Linked DNA regions of Schizosaccharomyces pombe. The gene in region 1 interacts genetically with each later gene. Each region holds a gene or a part of one and is shown on either strand. Other genes may lie near its edges.

The links.
Region 2: of pof6 (region 1) and SPOM_SPAC26H5.07C, a mutation in one rescues a mutant of the other (synthetic rescue), as found in Schizosaccharomyces pombe (one large-scale study listed by BioGRID).

Annotation. Positions count from the first base shown.
Region 1 is NC_003421.2:1,954,443-1,967,176, forward strand, and holds pof6 (exocyst complex subunit Exo5-like, F-box protein Pof6), read left to right. Parts: upstream 1-5,666; 5' UTR 5,667-5,687; coding exon 5,688-8,035; exon of another isoform or gene 8,036-8,085; coding exon 8,086-8,356; downstream 8,357-12,734. Other genes in the region: SPOM_SPCC18.02 (transporter), read left to right, coding at 1-559; SPOM_SPCC18.03 (shuttle craft like transcriptional regulator), read left to right, coding at 1,322-4,555; ribosome biogenesis protein Rsa4, read right to left, coding at 8,666-9,277, 9,328-9,624, 9,683-10,078, 10,129-10,332; CCR4-Not complex CAF1 family ribonuclease subunit 7/8, read right to left, coding at 11,397-12,404; oligosaccharyltransferase complex zeta subunit Ost5, read right to left, coding at 12,413-12,591. UniProt on the Schizosaccharomyces pombe protein: Together with skp1, essential for septum processing and cell separation.
Region 2 is NC_003424.3:4,125,603-4,137,698, reverse strand, and holds SPOM_SPAC26H5.07C (seven transmembrane receptor protein), read left to right. Parts: upstream 1-4,218; 5' UTR 4,219-4,235; coding exon 4,236-4,322; exon of another isoform or gene 4,323-4,399; coding exon 4,400-4,472; exon of another isoform or gene 4,473-4,695; intron 4,696-4,775; coding exon 4,776-6,133; 3' UTR 6,134-6,293; downstream 6,294-12,096. Other genes in the region: SPOM_SPAC26H5.09C (gfo/idh/mocA family oxidoreductase), read left to right, coding at 1-126; glucan beta-glucosidase Bgl2, read left to right, coding at 2,112-3,077; shelterin complex subunit Pot1, read right to left, coding at 6,385-7,862, 7,935-8,055, 8,102-8,170; mga2 (IPT/TIG ankyrin repeat-containing transcription regulator), read right to left, coding at 9,032-12,096.

The DNA.
Region 1 (12,734 bases):
TTTCTCTGCCTTTGATGCTACTATTCCTTTAGAGCTGAAAACGCTTTTTGACTTTAATTCGCTCCAATGTGGTCTTATGTTTGGAGTGTTGAGTACACCATATTTTTTTTGTGGTGCTTGGGCTGGTGCAATGGTTGATCGCCGTGGTTCTCGTACTATAGGTAAGCGTGCGTATGCTATTTTGGGATGTACGTTGTTCCTCTTGTGTATTCCTCGAACAAATACTAGTCTTAACATTTATTTGTTCTCTGCTTTCCTGGCTATTAATGGAGTGGTTTTGGCATTCACATCATCCCCCGGTTTTGTTCAATCTTCTCATTACGTTGCTGAATATGAGCTCGAACATCCCACTTTTTTTGGGCATAACGGACCCTATACTCAGCTCTTTAGTGCCTATAATATTGTCTATTCTTTAGGTATGATTATTGGTCCCCTTGTTGCAGGCTTCTTGCGCGATCAATTCAATTTCATAACATCCATTGCATGCTTGTCTCTTTTGTGTTTTTCCGCTAGCCTTATGGCTAACTCATGTTTTACTGATCGGCTTGACTCTGAATAAATTTAAAGGGTCTCAAAATGCCTGATATTCCTGGTCAACGGTTTTCAGTCATGTTTTTTCTTTTGAATTATGGTTGTTTTTTTCATCTTATTATATTCAATTTGTAATCAAATTGTTTGTCATCATTCTCGTTGTTTCGGCTGGCCGAAACCGATTTTTGAAAATTTCCCCATCAAAATATTATCCGTTCATTTGATGGCTTTTAAAAACTGTTTTACATAAGTTGTTGATTCACAATGTTGGATAATGTCGTCGTTTACCGGCAACAACCTTGACAAGTCTTTTGCCATAGAATTGTCGCATTCTGTTCTTTCTTTTAAGTCATTTACGTTAATTTTGGACCACCAAATAGAAGTTACCAAGTTGAGTTTAGTTTAAAAATAGTTGACTATATTCATAAGACCTACATGAAACTGATAGTTAAATTTAAGACAATTATTTATTATTGAAGCAAACTTTCGTTCTTTGTAATAAAGATAGGAAGAGTCTAAAAGAAGTCAAGAGAGTTCAAAGCAATGAACATGTTTACATTAATTCTACCATCCTTAATTAAAATGCGCATTCAACAAGTCATTTTTATTTGTCGTCCTTCGAAGATAATTATTCTCCCTGAGTAAAAACTATTGTATATTCAAAATATAGAGGTGTTTTACCTTTTTGTTTTGGTTTCCAATACAGGTTTTGTCACCTCGCCAATTTTGTGCTTATATTCCAAGAAGTTGCCACGATGCTAACTTGTCGAGTGCCTTATACACTTTCTGGATGGAAACATCTAAAAATCCTTCCGATTTGCCTAAAAAACCTGCAAATGTAAAAAAAAATAGACGAAGGTTTCAAAAATCACAAAAGAAATCGATATCACCTTCTTCAGGTTCAGAATTACCAAATTTTAAAACAACCATATCCCAAAACAATGAAGAGGTAAAGACTTCATTAAAGGAAGATTCCAGCAAGTTCCATCCTTCTGCGAGTGCACCAATCTTTGTCCCCACTTCCTCCGTTCAATTAAACGTATCTAAGAATAATGGACACAAAGCGTCTGATATCGTAGATGCTGTTTCATCTAAGGATGAAGAATTGCGAAAGCATGCAAAGGGAGAAGGGAAAAGATCTAAAAATCGAAAAAGATCTTCTAAGCATTCTGAAAAACAGGCAGTTGACTTGAAGTCTTCTAACTCTAGTCAAGAAACCTCTAGTAGCAAAGGTTCTGTTAACAATAAAAGCGAGAGGTCACGGGAAGCGAAGAGTCGGATGCCAAAAAATTCGAAAGAAATAAAAAAAGGATTGGACCTTTCTAAATTAGATATGACCTCTAGGATGATAGTGGAATTGAAGAACAGACTTTATGAGTGTAGCGTCTGTACCGATACCATTAACCCTTCTACATCGATCTGGTCCTGTGGTACTTGCTACCATGTTTTCCATCTATCTTGTATTCGTAAATGGTGTAAAAACTCAATCGAACAAAGAAATGAAGACGCTTGGCGTTGTCCTTATTGTCAAAGTAATCAAACGGAAACTTCTCTTCATTATCTCTGTTGGTGCGGAAAACAGGAGAAGCCTGAGTTTGTCAAAAACTTGGTACCACATTCCTGCGGTGATCCCTGTGGTAAAACTAGAGGTCAAGATTGCGAACACCCTTGTCCCTTGCTTTGTCATCCTGGACCTTGCCCTCCTTGTACCGCTACTGTGGAAAAGTTTTGCCTTTGTGGCAAGGAAAGTATACATGCTCGATGTTCGAATATTTCAAAAGTAAATACGGAACCTTTTCGTTGCGAAAATGTATGTGATGAGCTATTGCCTTGTGGTGAACATACATGCAAGAAGCGGTGTCATTCAGGCTTATGCGGTGCATGTTTTGAACCTATAAACGCTAAGTGCTATTGTGGTTTACATTCAAAAACTTATCCTTGTTCATCTTTACCATCTCCTTCCATAAGCAAAAAAGATGAGAATGGTTCTGTGAAGGAGTGGTTTGGTTACTACTCGTGCAATAACCCCTGTACTTTATTTTTTGATTGTGGTCTTCATAAATGTAGTAAAACATGTCACCCAATCTCTGAAACAAGGGCTCATTGTCCTTTCGCTACCGATGTATTGACAAAATGCCCTTGTGGAAAGGAAGATATATCTTTTCTGCTTAAGGGACATGAGAGGAAAAGCTGTTCTGATCCTATCCCCACTTGTGAGAACATTTGTGGAAAGCTTCTGTCTTGTGGCCATAGATGCAAATATAAATGTCATCTTGGTTCATGTGGTACTTGTTCGGAAACACTGACCATTCCATGTAGATGCACTGCTAACGAAGTGCAAGTTACATGTGAGCAGTTACAAAATGGATTTATTCCTACCTGTGAACGACTGTGTACGATTCTTCTTAGTTGTGGACGTCACCAATGTAATAAAAAATGTTGTTCTGGTTATTCAAAGGCACAAACACGGTTAGCACGCCGCCCTAAAGGTGCTAAATTGAGATATCATCTTCTTACTGAGGAATTTGAAGAAGAGCATATTTGTTTTCGGCCTTGCAACAAAAAGCTTTCGTGTGGTAATCACTTTTGTCAGCATATGTGTCATCGCGGTCCCTGTCCTCGATGTTTGGAGGCTTCCTTTGAGGAGCTTCCGTGTACTTGTGGACGTACAAGATTATATCCGCCAGTGGCCTGTGGTACGCCGATTCCCGATTGTCCTTACCTTTGTGTTCTTCCAAAATCTTGCCATCACCCTCAGGTCAAGCATAATTGCCATCCTACCTCGGAACCTTGTCCTCCTTGTCCTTATTTTGTTAAAAAGCGTTGTCTTTGTGGCAAACATATTTTAGAAAATCAACCTTGTTATAGAGAAAACGTTAGATGTGGGGAGCTCTGTAATAAACTTCTATCCTGTAAAACTCACTTTTGCGAAAAGCTTTGTCATCCTGATGGTGAATGTGAGTCAAGTTGCAAAAAAGAGTGCGGAAAAAGGAGAATGTATTGTGAGCATGTATGCCAATCTCCCTGCCATGCTGGTCATCCATGTGATGAGCGGATTCCATGCAAGGCACCTCTTGAAGTCTCGTGTGAATGCGGCCGTATTAGAAAAAAAGTCACTTGTGATGCATCATATGATAACCCAGATCCTCAGCATAAAGTGTCTTGTACGCTTGAGTGTTCCCAGCAACAACGAAATAAACTTTTTGCAGAGGCGTTGAACATTAAAACTGATCGGCGGTCCAACGATGTAGCTCAATATACAAAGAGTCTACTTGTATTTTATGGAAAACATTCTGATTTTGCTGATGAAGTTGAGTCGTTACTTCGCAACTTTGTTAACAATAAAGCGTCTTCCTTCCGTTTTCCATCCATGCGTCGTGAACAAAGAGCATTTGTACATATGTTCGCAAAGTTGTTGGGTTTAGAAAGTGTTTCGTTTGACCCTGAACCTAAACGAAATGTCATGGTCTACAATAAAGGAGAGGCTAAGTTGCCCAATATGTTGCTTAAGGAAGCCAATTTGTACCACCTGCAACATCCTGAAATTCCATTAAAGCCGGACAGTCTATTAGGACCTGAGGAGGAAAACGCCACTGCAAGCCATATAGACGGTTCATCAAATGCTAGTGATTCGGGATATAATGCTTTTGTCTTGAAAGAATTATTGAAAGAAGTAAATGATGAATCTGCCATTTTTTCGGTTTTAGACGACATTGTGGATTTTAACCACTTGACCTGGTCTATTCTTTTTGGCGAAAATTATATTATACTAAAACCATTAAACACAGATCTCATTGTCAATAAAACTGGCAAACTAGTGGCCTTGCGTCCTCTTGTAAATCGACGTCTTGCAGACGCAGGAATTGCAAGTCGCTGTGAGATCTGTGAAATAAACGACAAAAACGAAATTGTTAAAACACGCTCTCAGAGAATTCACTCAAAAAAGAAAGCCTTTTTAAGTCTTGTTCCTGATAAATCTATTGGGGTTATTAATCGATATAAGGAACTTGCTACTGAATTGTAGATTTTATTCGTTTCCAAAACAAAAAAGCTTTTTATGACAGCATTTGTTGAGGTCTTTAAATTATTATGTTTCTTAATGAAAGGATTTGGTTTGGGAGGATAGGATTTGTTGTATCTCTAAATTAACTTTATGGGATGTAGCATACAAAATAAATGAATATGATACTTTTAATATAAAGTATGAACTAAAGTGAAGCGATGTTTATAGCTTTTTTTTTATTTGAAAATACAAATAATCTATGTCAAATGTTGAAACAAAAATACTATTTCTCAAGGAAAGGATAATCTTGTTGATACGCGATTTAGTAGAACCTTTAAAGCTGCATCGAAATTTAGTAGTTCTGCATTCTTTTTGTTTATCATCACAAAAAAGAAGGGAATTCTGAATTGAGCCAACAGTTTTTAGTTTCTCAATGGCATTCAAAAAAAACCTTGAAAGTACATGAATAGCGTTTTGTTCAGTCTTGTGGCTAGATAGTTACAAAGAGTAAATTAATATAGTTACTAACTCTAATATGTTCTACATGTAATTTATTTTTGTTTATGTTTAAACATAGAAAAGGACGAATAGTGGAATGGAATCTTATTTAATTTATATTTCATTTGCCTACTACGCAAAATCTCTTAATAAAAATTTATGGTATCGCAGCAGACTGCTAAGTTGGCTAAAGTTTTTTAAGATTACTCATTATATCAATTAACATATGCTAAACCGCGCTATAATCATTTGTGCTATAATAAGATAAATCATTTGGAAATGAATGTTGACAGTTTTTTATTTAACTTTCAGTAATTTTATGCACTGCAGAACCATTCAATTGAAGCTTTATTACTCAGTAGTAAATAAGCTATAATTTATTATAATACTATGCAATATCATGGTTATATACGAGAGCAGTGTTATATAACGCCAAGAGTTATCTGTACAACTGTATATACGCCAAGACAAACTTACGGTAGTCTACCATATTCTTTAAGTTTGTTTTACGCACTTCATACCATTACCAAAAGTTAACATCGTTGTAAATCGTTATGTAATTTTAATCGTAACTGTAGTCGTCACTATTTTATGAAGTATGCGGAATACCTGTGATCATAATATCATGTTCGCTAGAACCAAATAGATTTCATGAATGAAGCCTTCGGAAGCTCGTGAACATGCCATAAGGAAGATTAAGGAGTATCTAGAAAGGCGACATAAACAACAGTTTAAGGCTTTGTTTGGATGTCTCACGATCAATATATACTTAAAGATATTCACGCTCATTTCTACCCCAGATCTGTGTAATTGCCGCCTTGTTTGTAGAAAATTTCAACAATTATGTGATTACAATAGTATATATGTGAAAAAACTACTTCTTATGAATGCTTGGGATGTTACACTTTCTCGAAAGCTTTATTATGAAAGTCAAGATGGGATGTCTCAAGCAAATATGTCTTCCAACACCAGCAAAGGCTTTCATTTACAAAGTAGTGATAAAAAGTATGCTGACTCTGATCGGCCTAAGCTGTCCTCCTCGTCACTTCTTTCCTTACCCGACCAAAAGATCCCTTTTCCTGTTGATTACTCAACAGTGCAAGGGAAGCAAGTAGTTTTGACAGTTTTGGATTGTGTGAGTCAAAGAGTTGAATTTGCAAGATTGGATTACATAAAGGTTTGGAGAGCATTGGCTCCTATCTACCGAAATCTGGCTTATGCTAGCAATACTATTGACCCTATTGCATTTTCTGCTTTTCGGACGCCAGAGGAGCAATCGAAAGTTCTGAAGTATTTAATTAGGTTTGGAAATTCTTATCCCTATGGAACTTATCGACAGGCGATGCAAAATGCCATTCTTGACATGGCTTCATTATTTGAGCAAGCTTGTCTTGATGAATTTGAATTAGGTCTTCATTCTCGTAATCTTGATCTTCTTCGTAAGTTTTCTCATGTTCTTCATGATTTTAGTGGTCCAAATGCATACGTGAGCATGTATCTAGCAAAGCAAACTGATTTTGTTAGGTCTTTCTTCCATTTTGATCCGTATAGTTTGTTTATTTCCAATAATCTAGAAGAAATTCACATTAATTGGAACATCTTGGAGTCTGTTGTTAACGACACTATCAAGCTTTTAGAGTCGGAATCCAAATTCTCTGAAGCTACTTTACCTGAGCCTGAGCTTGTCCAGGTTCCTTATGCTAAAGACATTCTTGGAAATTCACTAAAAGACTATGTAATATCAATATGCGAGCATATTGGTGAAGAAGAGACCGAATTGTTCCTTGTTTTTATTTCTGGATTTTATGGCCTATGCAAGAAGTTTTTTTCGATTCCTAATGGACCGGCTTTAGTGGATACAATTTTTCAACCGCAAATTGATATTTTCATTTCTCAGGAGTTACATTACTTTAAAACTGTTGGCTGGTCGCTGGTTGATCAGTGGGACCAAAAGCTGGAAGAAAAAGAAGACGCTACAGAATGCTTTTTTTACAAAAATGTCAGCCAGAATACTGCCAAAAATAATTTTTTGGAAACCTTTAAAAACGTAATGCTGCTTCCAGTCTCTCTTTTTACAATACCGTCAGAAAACAATAGTGCATCTAATTTGGCTGAGAAAGCGATAGAGCAGAAAGAAGAAGAAGATCCAGAACTTTCAAAGTTGGATGCTGCCCGATTTGTTCCTGCGAATATATATGTTTCTAAGGACCGATTGAAACATCTCCCTACTACCGAATTAGCCGCGCAAGCTGCTGTATTGGACTCAAAACTTGAAGGTATCAGCACCATGTTTAGTTTGGAATTAGCTTTGAAAATCGTCCATCTTTGCAAAGTTAGTTTAGCTCGTGCTAAAGTATTTATGGGTACCTCGGTTCCTCAAGATGATGATATTAAAGGGCTTTCGAAGGACTTATTCGTTCAGCTTCTGCGGGAGTTAGGTCAAGGCCACTTAAAGCATGGGTTTGATCGAGCAATCGAGCATCTCTCTTCTTTTGATCCTCGACGCGACTTTTCTAGTAATACTGTAGAGCCAGTGGTGAAATTTTTGGAGCTTATCAATGTTGGTGATATGATTCAGCAGATGATGGATAGCTTTTTTAACGAAGAAATGAGTCCTATATGTGTGAAAGATGATATGTTTGACCCTGCAATTGCAGAAAAAAAAAAATTCGAGCAGCTTTTGGATGAACGGGCAGCTTTCGGATTACACAAAGGCATTAATGTTCTAATTGAGCATGCCGATTTTTTGCTGGAAACTAAAACACCAATGAATTTATTTAGTGACCAAACTATAGGTTCCATAACGAATACTATAGAGCCTACAGCTGCTGCCAAAAATGTGGTTCAATTTTTAGGTTTCCACATGCGTATTCTAGTTGGAAGGGCCGATCATGAAATCCTTGATGTTTTTTATAAGGAAGTCGGAATGAGACTTTTCGATTCCTTAACACGTTACATAAAATCTCATAAATTCAGTGTCGATGGCGGGCTAAAGTTACTCAGGTGAGATTTTATTCCTTATGTTTAAGAATTATAAAACTGACTCATTTTAGCGATTGTAATTTGTATTATGAATTCATTCACTCTCTTCATCAAAGCAGCCTTTTACCATATTTTAAGACATTGAAGGAAATTGCCCATTTATTTATTATTGATGGAAAAAACGCCGAAGAGATTGGAAAACTGGCTACCGATACTTCTCGATTTTCTAGCGCATTTCATACCGAAGAGGTTTACGAAATCCTTCACAGTCGTATTGACTGGTTAAACATCAAATACGAAGTAGATAAAGTAATCCATGGACTGGCATGCTGTATAATGTAAATATTTTTTATTTTTTGTTCATATCCTTTTTTTGTTATTACCATACACTTTAAAAATGCATCTTGCTTTCTGCTTTAGGCTATAATGTTTGTTTAACAAATTCGTTTTTTGGACCTTTTTTAGGTTTGTGTCTATTATAATATCCTCTAAAAGTCAATCAATTTTAATGTCATAATAAATCATAAATGCAGTAGTTATTAAGGATAAAAGCCAAAACCATTTTATTAACCTAAACCGTAAAAGAAAACCAAATTCCTGAAATTAGTTCTAAATTTTTTAACAACAACTATGCTACCGAAAGCGTAAATATCAGTGTGACCATATACGGACTGCTTTATCAGCGCCTCCAGAAGCGACACGCTGTCCATCCGGAGACCAATCCACCGCAAAGACTTGATCTTCATGACCTGGTAAATCAAACTTCATCTTTTTGGATCGTACATCCCACACCTTTAGCGTCGTATCTTGAGAAGAACTGACCAACAATCGTGAATCTGTAGACCAGGCACATTGATAAACCGCAGCAACATGACCACGCAAAGTTGCAAGGAATTTACCGGTTTTTCCATCCCATAGCCTAACTGAGCTATCGAAACTAGCTGTAGCAATACACCGTCCATCAGGAGAAAATGAAGCATGGTTTACTACCTTTTGATGTCCATGCATTTTTGTGATGGGCTTCGTTGATTTCTGTGGATCCCATAATATTAATTGCAAATCATCACTGGCAGAAACCAATCTCTCTCCTGACTGTTTTAAACAAGCCTCATAACGCTCTTTGGCCTTACGACGCTCATCAGAAAAGCTTTTTGGTTTAAAATCAGTATGATCATATGCACCCGAACGCAAGACATGCTCGGTGGACAAGGAGAGATGGTTCACACGAGCGGCATGACCTTTTAGAATATGCAAGCATTTTCCCTTCAAAATTAGTAAGTAAATAATCCCTAAGTACAATTTCCTTCACTTACATCTTTAGCATCCCAAATCCGTATGGTTTTATCATATGAGGAGGAATAAATCCAGTTTTGACCGCCCCAACGGACACAAGTAATTGGCGCGGTATGACCCGAGAGAGTAAAAAGCAACGTCCTTAATTTGACATTCCAAATACGAACTGTATTGTCTTTTGATCCAGAAGCTAGTAAATAGGGGCCACTGTCAGGAGCAAGATGCAAAGGTTGCCAACATAGTGCCATAATAGGTTTCGTATGGCGTCGTAGAGCATCACCTATAGGGCTCCCCTTTTTGGGATCCCAGAAACGAATCTAAAAATATTAGTGACTTGCGACAAAAAAATCATAAATCCATCAAAAAGTTACTCACCGTATTATCCATGCTTCCTGTAGCTATGATAGAGGCATCAGGGGCCCAAGCGACGCAAGACACCCAGTTAGTGTGACCCTTCATGGTTGCAATAGGGGTTTGCGTATCACAATCCCAGAGCCTTGCCGTGAAATCTCCACTTCCAGTAACTAGCCTCGAGCTTGTGCTAGGCGAAAATTGGGCAGATATAATGGTACCATCATGGCCATTCATTGATGCAGTACAACGAGTAACAGCACGGACACGAAATACAGCTTGAGGAGTGTAGAGTAACGTTAAGTGATCCTCAGTTTTCATAAGTCCATTGTGAAATACAGAAGTGTATAAATTATCTTGAATTTCGATAGTTTCATCTTCATGATGAAGAGCAAAATTATACGGAACAGGATCGTCGGACTGTGAGGATTATGTTAGCACATTTACAGAAAAAAAACTTTCATTCTTACATTCTCTAATAATTGGTTCAACAAGGCTTCCAATTGCCTAACAGAACTATTTCCAGGAACTAAAAGTGATGCCAGTTCATTGCTATCATCTGACGCCCGAAACTGAACGTTAACGAGCGGGAATTTTTCAGGAATTTCTATAGTAGTAGGATTTAAGCTCTCCTTTTTTTGACGTTTACTTTTAGGAGGCAGTAAAGTCGCCATTTTAGAAGGATTTAAAAAAGGAAGGATTTGGTAGTGGTAGTAATGAAAAATACTTACACTTAGTATTCTTAAAAGAGCTGTGATCAGATAAATTTTATCGCGCCAATGATGCATCGCGATAATTTTAACAACGATCTTCAGCGAATAGAAAAACAATTATAGCTAATTAAGCTAGATTTAAGCGAGGTTATAAAAAATTAGTTTCTGCATGTCGAACAAGAGAAACAAGATCTTAGAGTTTTTATAAAATAAATTTTAGGTAATTCTTTTATGCTTGATCAAATTAACTAGAAGAATTATTGAAAATTTTCAGTATCTCAAGAAATGGTTGGGACGACGAGGTAGGTGATATTTTGTTCATTGGCTTGGGAACCTTAGTGATAAAATAAAAGCTAAAAACTAAAATAATAGTTTTGAGATTGTAATATTTTAAATCACAGGATAAAGCACCTATCAAAAAAAAAAAAGCTTTACTAACTAAAGTTGATGCTTGCATGAAGATTTGTTACAACATGCACATAGAGCTGTTTTGGGGAAGCATTGGAGTTGACCGATGATAAACATCAGACTTGAAATCTACGCCGGTTTGCACCGTTGATGCTGGGTTGGATGCTAAGCTATTACGAATTACAAATACACGGATACATTATCAGTATATGAAGGAAATGGACTATATTATCTATTAATACAAAACCCGATGAAAGGCTTTTTTTGCTTCCAGATGCAAGAGAGTTCATTTCGCTGGGAATGAAGATGAATAATTTTAAAGTAAATCATCGCAACAAAATAGAAGGAAAATGCTCCTCACGAAAATGAGTGGATACAAAAACTTTTATGCTGAATTAGCGGGAAACTCCAACCAATCTCTTAAATAAAAAGAAAAACATATAAAAATCCAAAGTATAGATTTTATGGAAAAAATCTAGAAAAGCATATCGAGTAAACAAGTTCAAGCAAGGGTATACGTGAGAAAACGAGAATATATTAAGTTAAAATACAAGCATCCCGAAAGTACTTTCAAGGACTTCAATTTTTTAACGGTATGTTTTCAACTAGCTCGTGATCTAAACTACACGAGGAGGAAATCTGAATGTTGAATTGGCGAAATTAGGTGCCGAAGAAGTATTCGTTAAAGTGGTGGGAATCCCAGCATTAGATGGAGTAGGACTAGGATGGGCACCTGGAAGATCTCTGAATTGAATCTGTGGGGTAGATGAATTGTTGTGCCATAAAACGCTACCGGTTGAGCCTAAACCGTATAGCTGGTTGAGCATCCTGGAATCAATGGAACCATCAAAATACCTCGACCTTATTTCGAAAAATATTCTCGCGGTTAGCAAGGCATCACTTCCAGCCTGATGTTGGGGTCCTATACGATGTATTTGTAAATCGTCAGCAATGTCTTGAAGACCTTTAGAGTTGTTCAACACAGATTTCATTATGTATTTTATGTCGTAATTTTTCGGAAAATAAATACAAAGAATTTTATAAAACTCCTCATATTCAGCGGGTAAAGGGATTTGTGTCATGGCTTTTAATAAATAGGCAAAGTCATATCCACTATGAAACGTTATCCACGTGACCTCCTCTTGCAAAACTAATCCACTACCAATGAGGAGCTCTGCAAAATCTGCAGGCTCTATGCCAACCTCTTGATGTTTCTTAAAGTCAATGCCACTTTTTGTGAGTAACTCTATGCTTTCCGGAGCGTACATATCGTCTTGTAGATTGAATGTAAAATTAAATTGCCATGTACATGCCTCGACAGGGGCATTTCCTTCCTCGTCACTTAAAGCAAGCCCAATTTGAATGATTTTTAATGAATCTACGTTTGCCCGTAAAGTTTGATAGTGGTAGTCATCACTACTTTTAAAGACGCCAAGAGGTCTAGCAACTACTCCTGGAAATTCTGTATCCATAGAAACAACTGGATACCTTTCTATTAGACTCATTATAAGATTCATCTCTTGTTGCAAATTCGTGGACCAAACGTCCCGAATTGGTGATATTTGGGAGCTGATTCCATCCACTCCTAATGCAGGATAAGAAAAATTCGAATTCATCGCTGTCATTACGTTTTTTAAACAGCAAAGCTATAATGTAAACCAACCTGGAAAAGTAGGTTTTCGTTTGGTGTAAGTAGACTTGGATTGTTGAAGAATCCGCTGAACATAGATGCGTTAATTGTGAATACTGTAATATACCACAATTTCCTTATATGAATTCTTCTAATCACAAGAGAAAACATTGATGATGAAACTAAAAGTTAGTCATAGAAGGGTCAACTATTAAGTTAGGTATTAACTAACCTACAAGTGAAACTAAAGTTATTTTAATGGAACAATACTGTCATATGTTTGTTTGGAATATTTATTAAATCAAAGACTTTCTGTCGGCTTACC
Region 2 (12,096 bases), on another chromosome or scaffold:
GAAGCCTTGGTCACGAAGACCTTTGAAACTTCGGTGAAGCCTCATCAAGTTTTGTTGGTAGAGAAGATCATTGAGGCTGCTTACAAGAGTTCCCAATCCTCTACTTCCATCCCATTGTCCGAGTAGGTCTCATGGTTTTGAACCTGCGCGTCTTTCCAAATTCTTCTTTTTTTCTTCCTTCCAGACAGTTTATGTTTTTACGTTTTCTATGACTTTTCAGTAAGCATTGTTTTTGTTGTTTTATGTTTGGTACTGTAACCTTCGACATACTATATCTGATGACGAACCGATGCAAACAGATAGAACTGGTAATTAACCACACAAGTAAGTATATAATTTCTATCTGCGCATGTAAATATGCAAGCTATATACATACGTCTATCTATATCTTAGTATACCTATAAATATAAATATATATTATGTTTTCATCAGCAACAGATTTGGGATGGTATGTATATATGCGCGTATAATAAATAGGGATTTTGTATAGGCAGGTAGGAATAGAAGGAAGAAAGATACAACATATTAAATACATATACTAAAAAAAGTCAACTTCTATACTAAGAAAAAAATCATTCACAATATGACACATAGGGAAAATAACAAAATAAATAAAATATTAAGTTTCTTAAAAAGTAAAATTCATTTCTTCGTATTTTACAAAGACCAACAAAACAAAACACTGTTTTTTTTTTTTATTTTTTTAAGCAGAACACATCTCCATAAAAACAAGCATCTTTTTATTTACTCTGTTCCTTAATTCGGTTATATAATACTATTTCATACACAGGCCAAACCAAATTCGTTGATTCTCCCTTCTTTCAATCTTTTCTCCCAGTTGTTTACGCTATTGTTACCCTTTACTCGTATTCCATTCATGTGGCAAGAAAAGAATCCTAATTCCGCTGACGGATTTAAAAAGAAATTTTTTCGGACCGCTACGAATTCTTATTTGAGCGGAAGTGTGTTTAGTGAAATTTTTTACAAGGAAAGATTCTTTCACTAAATAAGTAAGAAAATGAGTTTTAACTAACTTTATTGAATACAAATCAATCATACATTAAATATCATTTAAATTAGAAATTCTGTGATGAATCAAAAAATCCTTTAAATGTACAGCGCATTTCATTTTTACATCGATAGATCATCAAAATACCATATTCCAAAAAAATAAAGATTCTTCCCTCGTAAAAAGGTCAAGAACATGAATCCATGCACTCGGCTAAAAATAAAAACAAAACAGAATAAAGATATATGTTGGATAAGAAACGAATGGATTCAATAATGCGGCTAGAATACTGTGTTGGAACTTTTGAGAAATTTCCTCAAATTAATATAAAAATTAATTAAAAAAATTTAGGAAAAAATACAAAAAATAGTAGAAGCTTTAGAAAACAATTCAAAAAATTATTTCAAATAAACAATCTTATTTGTTTATTGAACCCCACCAATTTGAACATATAAACCTTTGATTTGGTTTCTAAAAAATTCCAAAAAATTTTAATTAGAAAGGACAACTCAAGTGATGAAATCTTGAGATATGGCTTGTCGATCGCATAGAAAACGTTTGAACATTCGTTTATTTCATGTATTTTCAACATTTTTAATGAAACAATGTACTCATGATTCGAGGCTTAGTGAACCGAATGTTCAATAACCTCATTTACCCACTTTTTCCCTTCCGACATACTCCACCATTGTCGTAAAAAATAGTGAGATTTAACATTGCATTGTAATAGAAATAATATTTAAGAGCCTCTGGCCTGCCCATTGTGGATAGTGAGCAGGAGTTTACATTGGTTAAAATTTTTTTTTTCCTTTTTCAGTCGCATTTATTTTATTTTCTTTTCTTTTGTTTTTCCCAACATAAAGGGTCATTCCACTCTTTTCTTTCTCGCTTTAAAACATTCTTCGTTTAAACAACAATCCACTCAATTCAACGTTTCTACTATAGTTTTTGGATTCGTCTCTGAATTTAATAGGTGTTAAAAGTTTCTTCTCTATCTCAAGTTTTCTTTTTTATCTTTTAAACCGTTTTCGATCAAATTTTTTTTATTCTACTTTTACTTCATTTTTTAACTCAATTGTCTTATTCTTTTTCATCACCAAAAATGCAATTCCTTTCGTCTTTTGTGTTTGCCGCTTTGGCTTTGTTGCCTCTTTCTGCTATGGCTGTTGATGAAGCTGCTTCCGAAATCGCTTCTTCCACCAAGCCTGCCTCTACCAATGGCACTCTCAGCTTCTGCTTAGGCGTGAAGCATGCTGATGGCACCTGCAAGTATACGGACGATTACTTGGCTGATTTTGAGGTCCTTGCTCCTTACACCAACATGATTCGTACCTATGCCACTAGTGATTGTAACACTCTCGAGTACTTATTACCCGCACTTGCTCAGTCGCCTTACAACTTTTCTGCCATCCTCGGTGTTTGGCCCACTGACGACGCTCATTACGATTTGGAAAAGCAAGCTCTTATGCAGTATTTGCCTCAGTATGGTGTTGATCATGTTAGAGCTATAACAGTTGGCTCTGAAGTCTTGTACAGGAATGATCTACCTGCTGACGTCCTTGCCGAACGCATTTACGACGTCCGTGGCCTTGTTCAACAAAAGCTCGGCTTCGATGTTCCCGTTGGTACTGCGGATAGTTGGAACTTGTGGGCTGGTGGTAGCGGTGATGTTGTTATTACTGCCAGTGACTTTATCATGTCGAATGACTTCCCTTACTGGCAAGGTCAAAACACCAGTAACATGACCAACACCTTCATCTCCGATACTTTGGCTGCTTTAGAGCGCGTCCAATCCGTCAAGGGTACCAACAACGTTACCTTTTGGGTTGGTGAGACTGGTTGGCCTACTGATGGTCCTTCTTATGGAGAGGCTGATGCCACGGTTGATATTGCTAGTGAATTCTTCCAAGAGGCCTTGTGTAACATACGTCGTAAGGGCATTGATATCTTCTTTTTCGAGGCATTTGACGAGGACTGGAAGGGTGACTCCTCTTCCGTTGAACCCTACTTTGGAGCCATGTACAGCAACCGCACTCTCAAGTACAATTTGAATTGCACCTCTGAGTAAACAATTGAATAGTTATATTCAACTTTGAGCGTATCTTTTCAACGTTGGATTTTTATACTTCATGTGTATGCTTTTGCCATACTTGCTTGATTGATTATTGCCTTTTTAACATTTTAATTGCTCTTTCGCCTTCTCCGTCAACATAGAAAATACCAAAAACAAACAAACAAACTTTTACTATTTTAAAATTTTCCTAATTAGGAATTTATTAAAAAATATCCAAATTACTCAAACTCTACTGCATTTTCATTATCTACATGTCATTTTGCATTTTCAGGCATATTACTTAAACTTTTCCATAAATCTTTGTTATATAAAACAAACGAATATCCATTTTTCTCAATTCTCTACACCGCAATTGCTGAGTTTGTTTATACATTAAGAAACAAAAATTATTGTAGCACTTATTGCTTTTAATATTTGTAAGCCATTTCATCTTCAAGACTTTGAGATATCATGGAATGTGATACTGAGGTTTTTTGAAGTGTTTAAAGGGTGACTTGTACTTAGATTTCTTTAGCTTCGTTATCAGATTATCTTTGGTTTTGCGTGTATAACAGAAGTCACCAAACCAAGTAAACAATGATTTGGTTTGCTCAATTACTAGCATTTTAAACAGCTTATCAATGTCTGGTAAGAAAAACGAGAAGAAAAAACAGTATTTAGTTAATAGCGTTTCATGATCTCAGCGGACGATGATCATTTTCTTTTTTTAATCTATATTTCGCTAGAGCATACGTCTGTCCTCCAATTTTCACTTAAACAATATAGATTTGGCAGTGTTACTAGAAATACCATTCTTCAGTGCTTTATAATTCTTCATTTTTTTGAAATTGAGTTTATTTACTAATATAATATGCTTATCTAACGTACCGCATATAATCTGAAAAAGGCGTGTCTCTCCTTATACAATAGCGTGTTATTCTGGAAACAAATAAAGAATACATGCTTTATTATAGAAGTTATTCTCCTTAAATAAACTAGTTTTTCTTTTAATTTGCATTTTTGCAAGCTTTGCCGCTTCTTTTATTATATAGTGACTTAACTAGTTCCGCTCACTAAAAGTATAGCAAGATTTAATGTGTCGCTAAACGAGCAGCGCCTTTCGTACCCCTTACGCAGTTGATCTGAACAACCGAACAAGAACCAAGCTCCAAAATGGCGATTTTAAAGTCGGCTCTTGTAGGGTTTATATGCTTTTTGCATTTCTTCATTGTAAATGCTTCCGATAATAAAAGTCTTTTGGTACGTGGATTATAGTGGTTGATAGTCGGAATCCAGAGTAGAATATTGGACGCTAACTAATTGCAATAATTTTGTAGACTGAGGATATTATGGCATCTCAAGTCTGTAATGGAATGTTTGCCAAAAAAGGAAAAACATCAGAGATTACTCGTATGTGAATTTTATATAGGCTTTCATAGTTGCTTGAGGAATCGGGAATTTTTTGGCGACGGAAATCAACATTACGAGCCTTTTATCGTGTTTTGACACTAAGAGTTATGCTGTTTCTTCATCTTTTCTTTGAATATGTTTCAGTTACTAGCGATGGGAAATTGATCGTTGCTTAATCTTTTCAGAGTTTTGCAGATCTTTATCTATATCGTTTTGTCGAAATCTTGACTGTATTTCTTAAGCACCTTTTTATGTTAATCTTTTTTACTATTTGTTAAGTTTTGTTACTAACTTTGAACATAGTGAAAATCGATTCTTATACATCTGACTTTGGCGGCGCCATTCGTTTGCTAATTTTTAACTGGAAAGATGTTAATGCCATCGGCATGGAAGACGATGATGGCGAGAAGCATTATATATGTAACTACGAAGACATTGAAGCCGGTGTTTGCAAGGACGATGATTATGGTCTTTACTTGATTAACCAAACCGCTCCCCACGATTCTATTTACTCAGCCGCCGTAGACGCTGAATCCATGGTTAGTCCCCTTAAATATCCGGTTGAGCAATCTGGTCTATATTGCGTCTTTACCGCACCCCTTGAAGGCTCCAGCGAGGCTTACAAAATCACCGTAACCTGGGAAAACTATTTTGGCAATTTGGATGCTACTGATTATCCTCATTTGTTTTTAAATCCCATTCTTTTGGCGATCAATTGTTTAATTGGAATTTGGTGGTCTTTTATTATGTTCCGCTATAGGCATGATCTCCTTCAAGTTCAAAAGTATATTTCAGGTGTTGTTGCTCTTTCTATTGTTTGCACTATGGTCTCTACAGGTTATTTCTATTTCGCGAATAGCAAAGGTTACACTACAGGTAGTAAAGTTTTTGCTTTCTTTTTGTCGTTAGCTCAATCCGCTCGTCAATCCTATTTCGGATTTTTGCTGTTAATTGTTTCACTGGGTTACTCTATTGTTGTTCCTAGTTTGGGAAGTCTTCTTCGTAAGTGTCAAATTCTTGCTGGTTTGCAGTTCGTTTCTTCATGCTTTTTCTTGTCATCTTTGTTCATTAGCCCATCTAATAAAGAGTCTTTGGTCATTTTGTTTGCCGCTCCTGTCTTTTTAATCACCCTCTTCGCTATGTTCCTTTGGATTGTATTGGCTTTAAATAATACAATTCGTGATCTCCGTATTCGTAAGCAAACTGTTAAGGCTCAGATGTATACTCGTCTTTGGATTGTTATATGTTTTGGCATTGTCGCTTATGCTTCGATTGTCGCAGCCAATGCCATTTTGATTGGTATCTACGGTCAAATGAACTATTACTTAAAATACTGGAAACTTCTTTGGTTCCTTAATTACGGATACACTGATATTCTTGTTTTGATCTTGATGCTTACCATTTTGTACTTGTGGCGTCCTACCGAGAATAACCGTCGTTTCGCAATGAGTGAGCAAGTTGCTCAAGATGTAGATGAGTTTGAGATGACTTCCTCTCTCTCAAATGATAGTTTGCATCTGCATCATGAGCGTCCTACATCTCCAGCCAACCCTCATATTATTCATGGCAGTGCCGATGAGCATCAAGCTCTATTCGCTGTTGACGATGAAAGTGATGATGATGCCTCAACACTTGCAACTTCTAAGCAAAAGCCTGCTTAGATGTAACCACCATACATCAAACCAATCCTTATTATTTTTGTAATTAATTTCTAAGATTATTTCGAAGTTGATGTTATATAAAGTCTAAGCAATTAGATATTTCACGTTTCCCCTCTGTGTTTTTCCTTAGTACAAATTCGCTCGCTTTATAAAATTCTCCCAATATAGAGCTTTCCTTAAATTTAAATATTGTTTTTCTTATGTTTCTTTTCCGTAAGCATTTCATTATTGTAAGTTTTGTATCACAATAGTCAAACAATTTTCGTGCCAAATCCTCGCCAGCGCTTCTGAAGAAAAGTCAAAGATTGATGGTCTTTGGTGTTCCCAATTACAGGAATGTATTCTTTGACATATATATCAAACCATGGTGTTTCAACATCTTCAGCAGCCAGAGTTGGCGATTCACCCTTCGATATGTGATGCTGAATGCGTTCTTCCAAGTTCCCCCAAATCAGAAATAATCTTTCTTTAAGCTGAAGAGTCATCTGCGGGTGATCAGCTAAATTGCAAGGTTGGATTTTTGAGCTGTTAATAAGTTCCGCAGCGTCAGAATCAAAAAATATGACCGGTAAAGTCACATTCGATACATCCCTTACGAGCAAGGCAAACATCCAAACATACGAAGATGGTGGTTGAGATAGCACAGCAAACTGCGTCAAACTCTTTGGCCAAAAATCTACCACCTGAACGCGTAGCCTATGTTTCCTCGGTTTGAGAAGATTCTGCAAAGGTGCATGAAGTATGGTAGAAATAGTAGTCAATTTTAAACTAGCAGGTTCATTTATGACATGGGCCGTAATTTCATTAACAGAAGTTTGCTTTAATTCATGGGCGATAAAAGGATTTTCCGATTGTTGGCTTTGACTGAGTTTCTCGATTACTGCTTCTATACCATTTTGGCAATTCTGAACATAAAGCCTTTTACGTGACTTAATTTCGTTTAGTTCGGGTTCTTCCGAATCGACTTTTTCTATACTCATATTATAACGTTTTGCTGAATCCCCATGAAGTATACATTCCAGATAACCAAGGTGATCAATTTTGGTTCGCACATTTTTCATAACCACATAGTCACCTTCTTTAATGTAGTTGCGGCAGTAAAAGTCGTGCTCATCCCATAAAATGCACCTTATAGAAAACCGACCAAAAGGGCCCCTCCATCTCGAGGAGCTAGTATACGGAGACATTGGAAAAAAAAGCTCATTTTCCGTATAATCAGTGACATAAAGAGTAAAGTTTTTATCACTGTACCAAGTTTTAATTACCTGAGCGTAAAAGCTACAACGTTGATGTGGAGTTATTTGTGATAGCAGAGAAAAAGAGACAGAAGGGTAACTCAATCCAGTTTGATTTTGACGAGCAGAAGAGGTACTCAATAATTCGCCATTTTTATGTTTATTAGTTTGCTCATCCCAAATTTTATTTAACAACAAGGCGAATTGCTCTTCCTTGTCTCCCGTTTTCATTAAACGAGGCATTGGTTGAGGACAGAGAGTATCTTTGGAATTAGAAGAAAAGTCTGGCCAAAGTGCATATCGAAATTGATCCTTAGACAAACCTTGAGTCCTGTCTCTATAACTTCTTAATGTGATTTGATGAAGCAAAAGCGGTTGCCCCACCTGCTTGATTACAGGCAAATCATTTCCCTGTTTGCTGAACAAGTGTATCTGTAGTCCGATGCTTGATGTATCACATGTTGGATCCCACAAATATACGGTGGTTACCCAATCTAAAAACATGATTATTAGCTCTTGACTGGAAAAATAAAAAGTATAGTTTCCACCATGATAAGCAAGCATACCCTTAGTTCCATGTAGACTTTGGCGACTAGGGGTAAAATCTTTTACTATTCCAAACAAATTGACAATAGTATTCTTCTTTTGTAATTCTTGAGAGCTTCTAATGGACTGAAATGTAAGTTCCTTTTTCATTGTTAGCAAAACAAATATAAATCCATTGATATCTCACTCCAATCTTATATTCTCCAGCATTTAATAACTCATTCAACTGAAGACTGTCAATAACGTCCTCTCCCATGCTTGATCAACGAATGATCCAAATATCCTTTAAGAACAACAAATGAGTTTTAGCCTTTCTCAGAAACCTAAATGGAATTGGTAAAAGCTTTTTAAACCAAGACAACCCCTTGAAAGTGATGAACCTTCAGATTATTCAATAGACTGCGTGAGAGTTACTTGTTCAAGCTTGATCATTCCCCTTCTTCAAATTCCTAGGATGAACTAAGGGTTATTCAGTTTTATTTTACCAATAATGAATTTGTTTCTTTATCAAGCAAAAGAATGACCCACTCCTCAATCTTGAGGTTATGAGTGTTCATGGCTAGCTATTAAATGGATCGCCGTAAAGTCCTTAAGCTGAGCGCAGTTGTAAAACTTTAGACATATCCCAGTTTCTGCTAGGCTATTATTGAAAGAGTTTGCCGAGTATCAAGATTTACTAGTATTATAATAAGCAGATCGCATACCGGTTCATGCCAATTGGTACTTAAAAATTTTAATGTATGCGGTTCATCTCGAAAACTCAAGACGCTTACTTTAGCTAATCTAACGTTCAGTTTAGAAAAAGAATGCAATGCAAAAAGCGATAGCTTATTAAAAGACTTTCCTAAGGTATTGCATTCACGATCCAGAACAGCAAACCTGCAACGATCTATTTTGGTTTTAAAAGCGCCAACCTGCTCTATGCGTTTAAACCCATGTAAGTTTAACTTACAAAATAAGCAATTACTTTCAATATAATAAAAAATTGATCCAATCGAATATAATATATACGATTTCATTGTCATAATACCTAAGTTTTGACAGTAGTTTGCTCATAATCTACAAAAAAGAATAAAACTAAAAGAAAGAAAAAAACATGCATGGTTGTTCGTCAAACCTAAATGCCAATTATGCAGCGATATAAATATCCCCCGATCATTTGAGCATAGCTTCGAAGACCAAAGATACTCAGCAAAAGTAGGGCAGGTAACCAGAAAGAGAATAGCATAAAGTCCATTCCTGCCTTTTTCAGTGTCTTTGCCTGCTCCTGTATTGCTCTGGTTTCTTCAGGAGTAAGAGCAGTAGATTTTCCACGACCAACAAGCCGAGATTGCCATCTCAAAGACCACCAAACACTTTTGTGATGATCGGGATCTTCAGATATAGCGCTATCTCTTTTACTAGAACCAGCTTGCGCTGTCGTATCATCAGCAAACTCAGAATAAGGAGGGGGTACATCATCGGGAATGGCCGATATACTTTTTAAGGTTGACAGCATGGCTTTTTGCATCATGGATGGAACTTCACTCATATAATTCTGAGGTAGTTCTTGAAGCGATGGAAACATTGTAACAGTTTTATTCCACATACTTTCACTATATGACTTGGTCTGAACAGCAGATTCCTCAATTTCGTTAACAATACTGGTTGATTCTAAGGTTTCATTTGTATTAATGGAGCCTTCAGAATCCTTAATAAGAGAGCGAGAAATACTTTGGGCTTGTTCATTATTTGCTTCCTTAAAGACCAGTTTTATAGGCTCAGAAGAGGAGAGGTCTATCGGTTTTTTACCGCTAGCTCCTATAACATCAGGCTTGGCACCGTTGGAAAGTAAATTAACACATATGTCTTTATGATCATACAATGAAGCATAATGCAGTGGTGTATAGCCAAGTGCGTCCCTTTTGTTAACATCGCATCCTGCGTTGCATAAGAACGTCGAAGCATTAGACAATCCACAGGCAGCAGTAAGGTGGAGAAGTGACCTACCAGATTCGTTAACAAGACTAAAATCAGAAAGGTATGGTGTCGTTGTATCTGTAACAAGAGCAAATGCTGCGAGGATAGTACTTTCAACACTGTCATCAGACTGATTACTGTCTTTTTTCACAATCCGCGAAATAACCGATTTAAGCGATTCCATATTGCTATCATGCAATAAGGTTTTTTTAGACTGACCTTTAGATTCACTGTTAGGAGGCTGCTTAATAGAATTTGTTATATATTGAGCAAAATCGTCGCGCCATGAACTCAACAATTTTTTGGATAACGTTAATGGGTTTTGAATAGATCCAGTAAGTTTTAAGCCTAAAACTTGAACAGTTAATTTGTAAAGTTCATTATCTAAATTATCTTCATAAGTAAACATTACTGGCGCTTCAGAAGATGAATTATAGTTCTGAAAGGTTACAGGAACGGTTCCAGCATTAGTTGCAGGAGGACAAGTCGCTATAATCGTTGACTCACTCCACGAAAAAGTTACAGCAGCTGGGTTGTCACCAAATAAACAGACTAATCCATTAAAAAAGTTCGCGCCAAGAATTGTAACTTCATAACCTCCCATGATTGAACCCTTATTAGGAATAATCCGAGATATTAAGGGAGCATGTGAAACATCAGGTGGAGTCATGTTTATAAAAGAAGAATCAACATTTTCTTTTATCGGCGTACTTACAAAATCAGGTTTAGCAACCTCATCAAATTGTGTAAGCAAGTTGTTGACACTACTTTTTTCTTCAACGGAAAACGAGAAATCATCTGTACAGTAAGGGAATGGGGCTATTGGGGCACTTTCATTTGTATGGGCTTCAAGCACTCCTTCCTCTTGCTGTTGTCTTTGTTGGAAACCAGCGGCATCGCTGGGAACTCGAACAACATGGAAACCATTCTTTGAAATGGAAGGACTTACGCCGCTTGGGGTAGTCATACTCAGCACAGAAGGGGATTTGCTCATACTAAAGGCTGAGCCCTCAACACTTTTCAAAGTGCTTTTCGAATTAGGTGAATGCGAGTCACTAGCAGATAGTTGTATGTCGAGTGCTCTAGAATTTTCACTCGAGGATGTTCGACGACGCTTTTCATTTGGTGGATTATCTGAACGGGTAGGGAAACCAGTGACAAGATTGGGGACAGTATTGCTTTTAGAAAGAACATGGTTTGAAGGAGCTTGTTGAGAATTGCTCTTACCAGTCTTTTCTGATTTCGTAAGATTTCTACTTTTATGATCATCAAGAACGGTAACAGGCTCTGGAAAAACAAGACGATCCACCAAACGTGACATGGAGTATAAGTCCCATATGATGTGAAAGTAAGGGCATGATTGATGAGACGAGTAACATGTAATCCGTGCATTGATGTGAGCAACTCTTTCATTTCCATCCAATTGCAAACGAACGTACTCAGGTCCAGTAAAAACCATTATCATTCTATCTTCATCTATGTCTTCAAGTTTGGGAAATTGATTTAAGAGCTTGATCCTGAACTGCTGCTTTTCTTCGGGAGAGGCATCAGTCATGTTACGCTCATAAGCCTTCAGTTTAGTATAGTTAGGCATACAAGCATCCTTTGTTGCTTGAGATCGAGCATTGCGCTTCCTTTCTCGAAGTAAACAGCGAGTACAGCAAGTCTTAACAACTGAGCTTTTGTCACCTGCAAGAACGGTAGGTACAAGATGAATGACGGTCTCCGGATCGGGTTGCAAAGGCTGAGGTTTCGAAGAACGCTTTTTGTCTTCACGGTGAGCCCAACTTGGCAAGCGAAGATATTCAAACGGAACACTTTGATTATCGTTGCTCTTGATCCGCAACTCAAAAAGCATGTTAGTTTCCACCCGAGATTTCCATTTGTGCTCATTGATAGCTGGTAAATGATTAACTGAGAACGCGTACTCCTTATTAGAAAGAGGCGGTGCAGACGTATTTAAAGAGGAAAATGCATAATCTTCGGCATATGGCGTAAGAGTATTAATAGATTCGTTGAAGGGAGTTTCCAACATGGTAATCGGCTGTCTAAACTGTAATGGATCTTCGATGGCGCCCGATGACTTTACAGAATTAAATCCAGCTTCATAAGGTGCTTGTTTCATAGGATCCATTTTTAAAAGATAAACATCCGACTCTCCAAACATGGGATTATCTCCCAAAGGTTGATCAACGGTATTAGCTAGAAAATTAGCATCAGAAA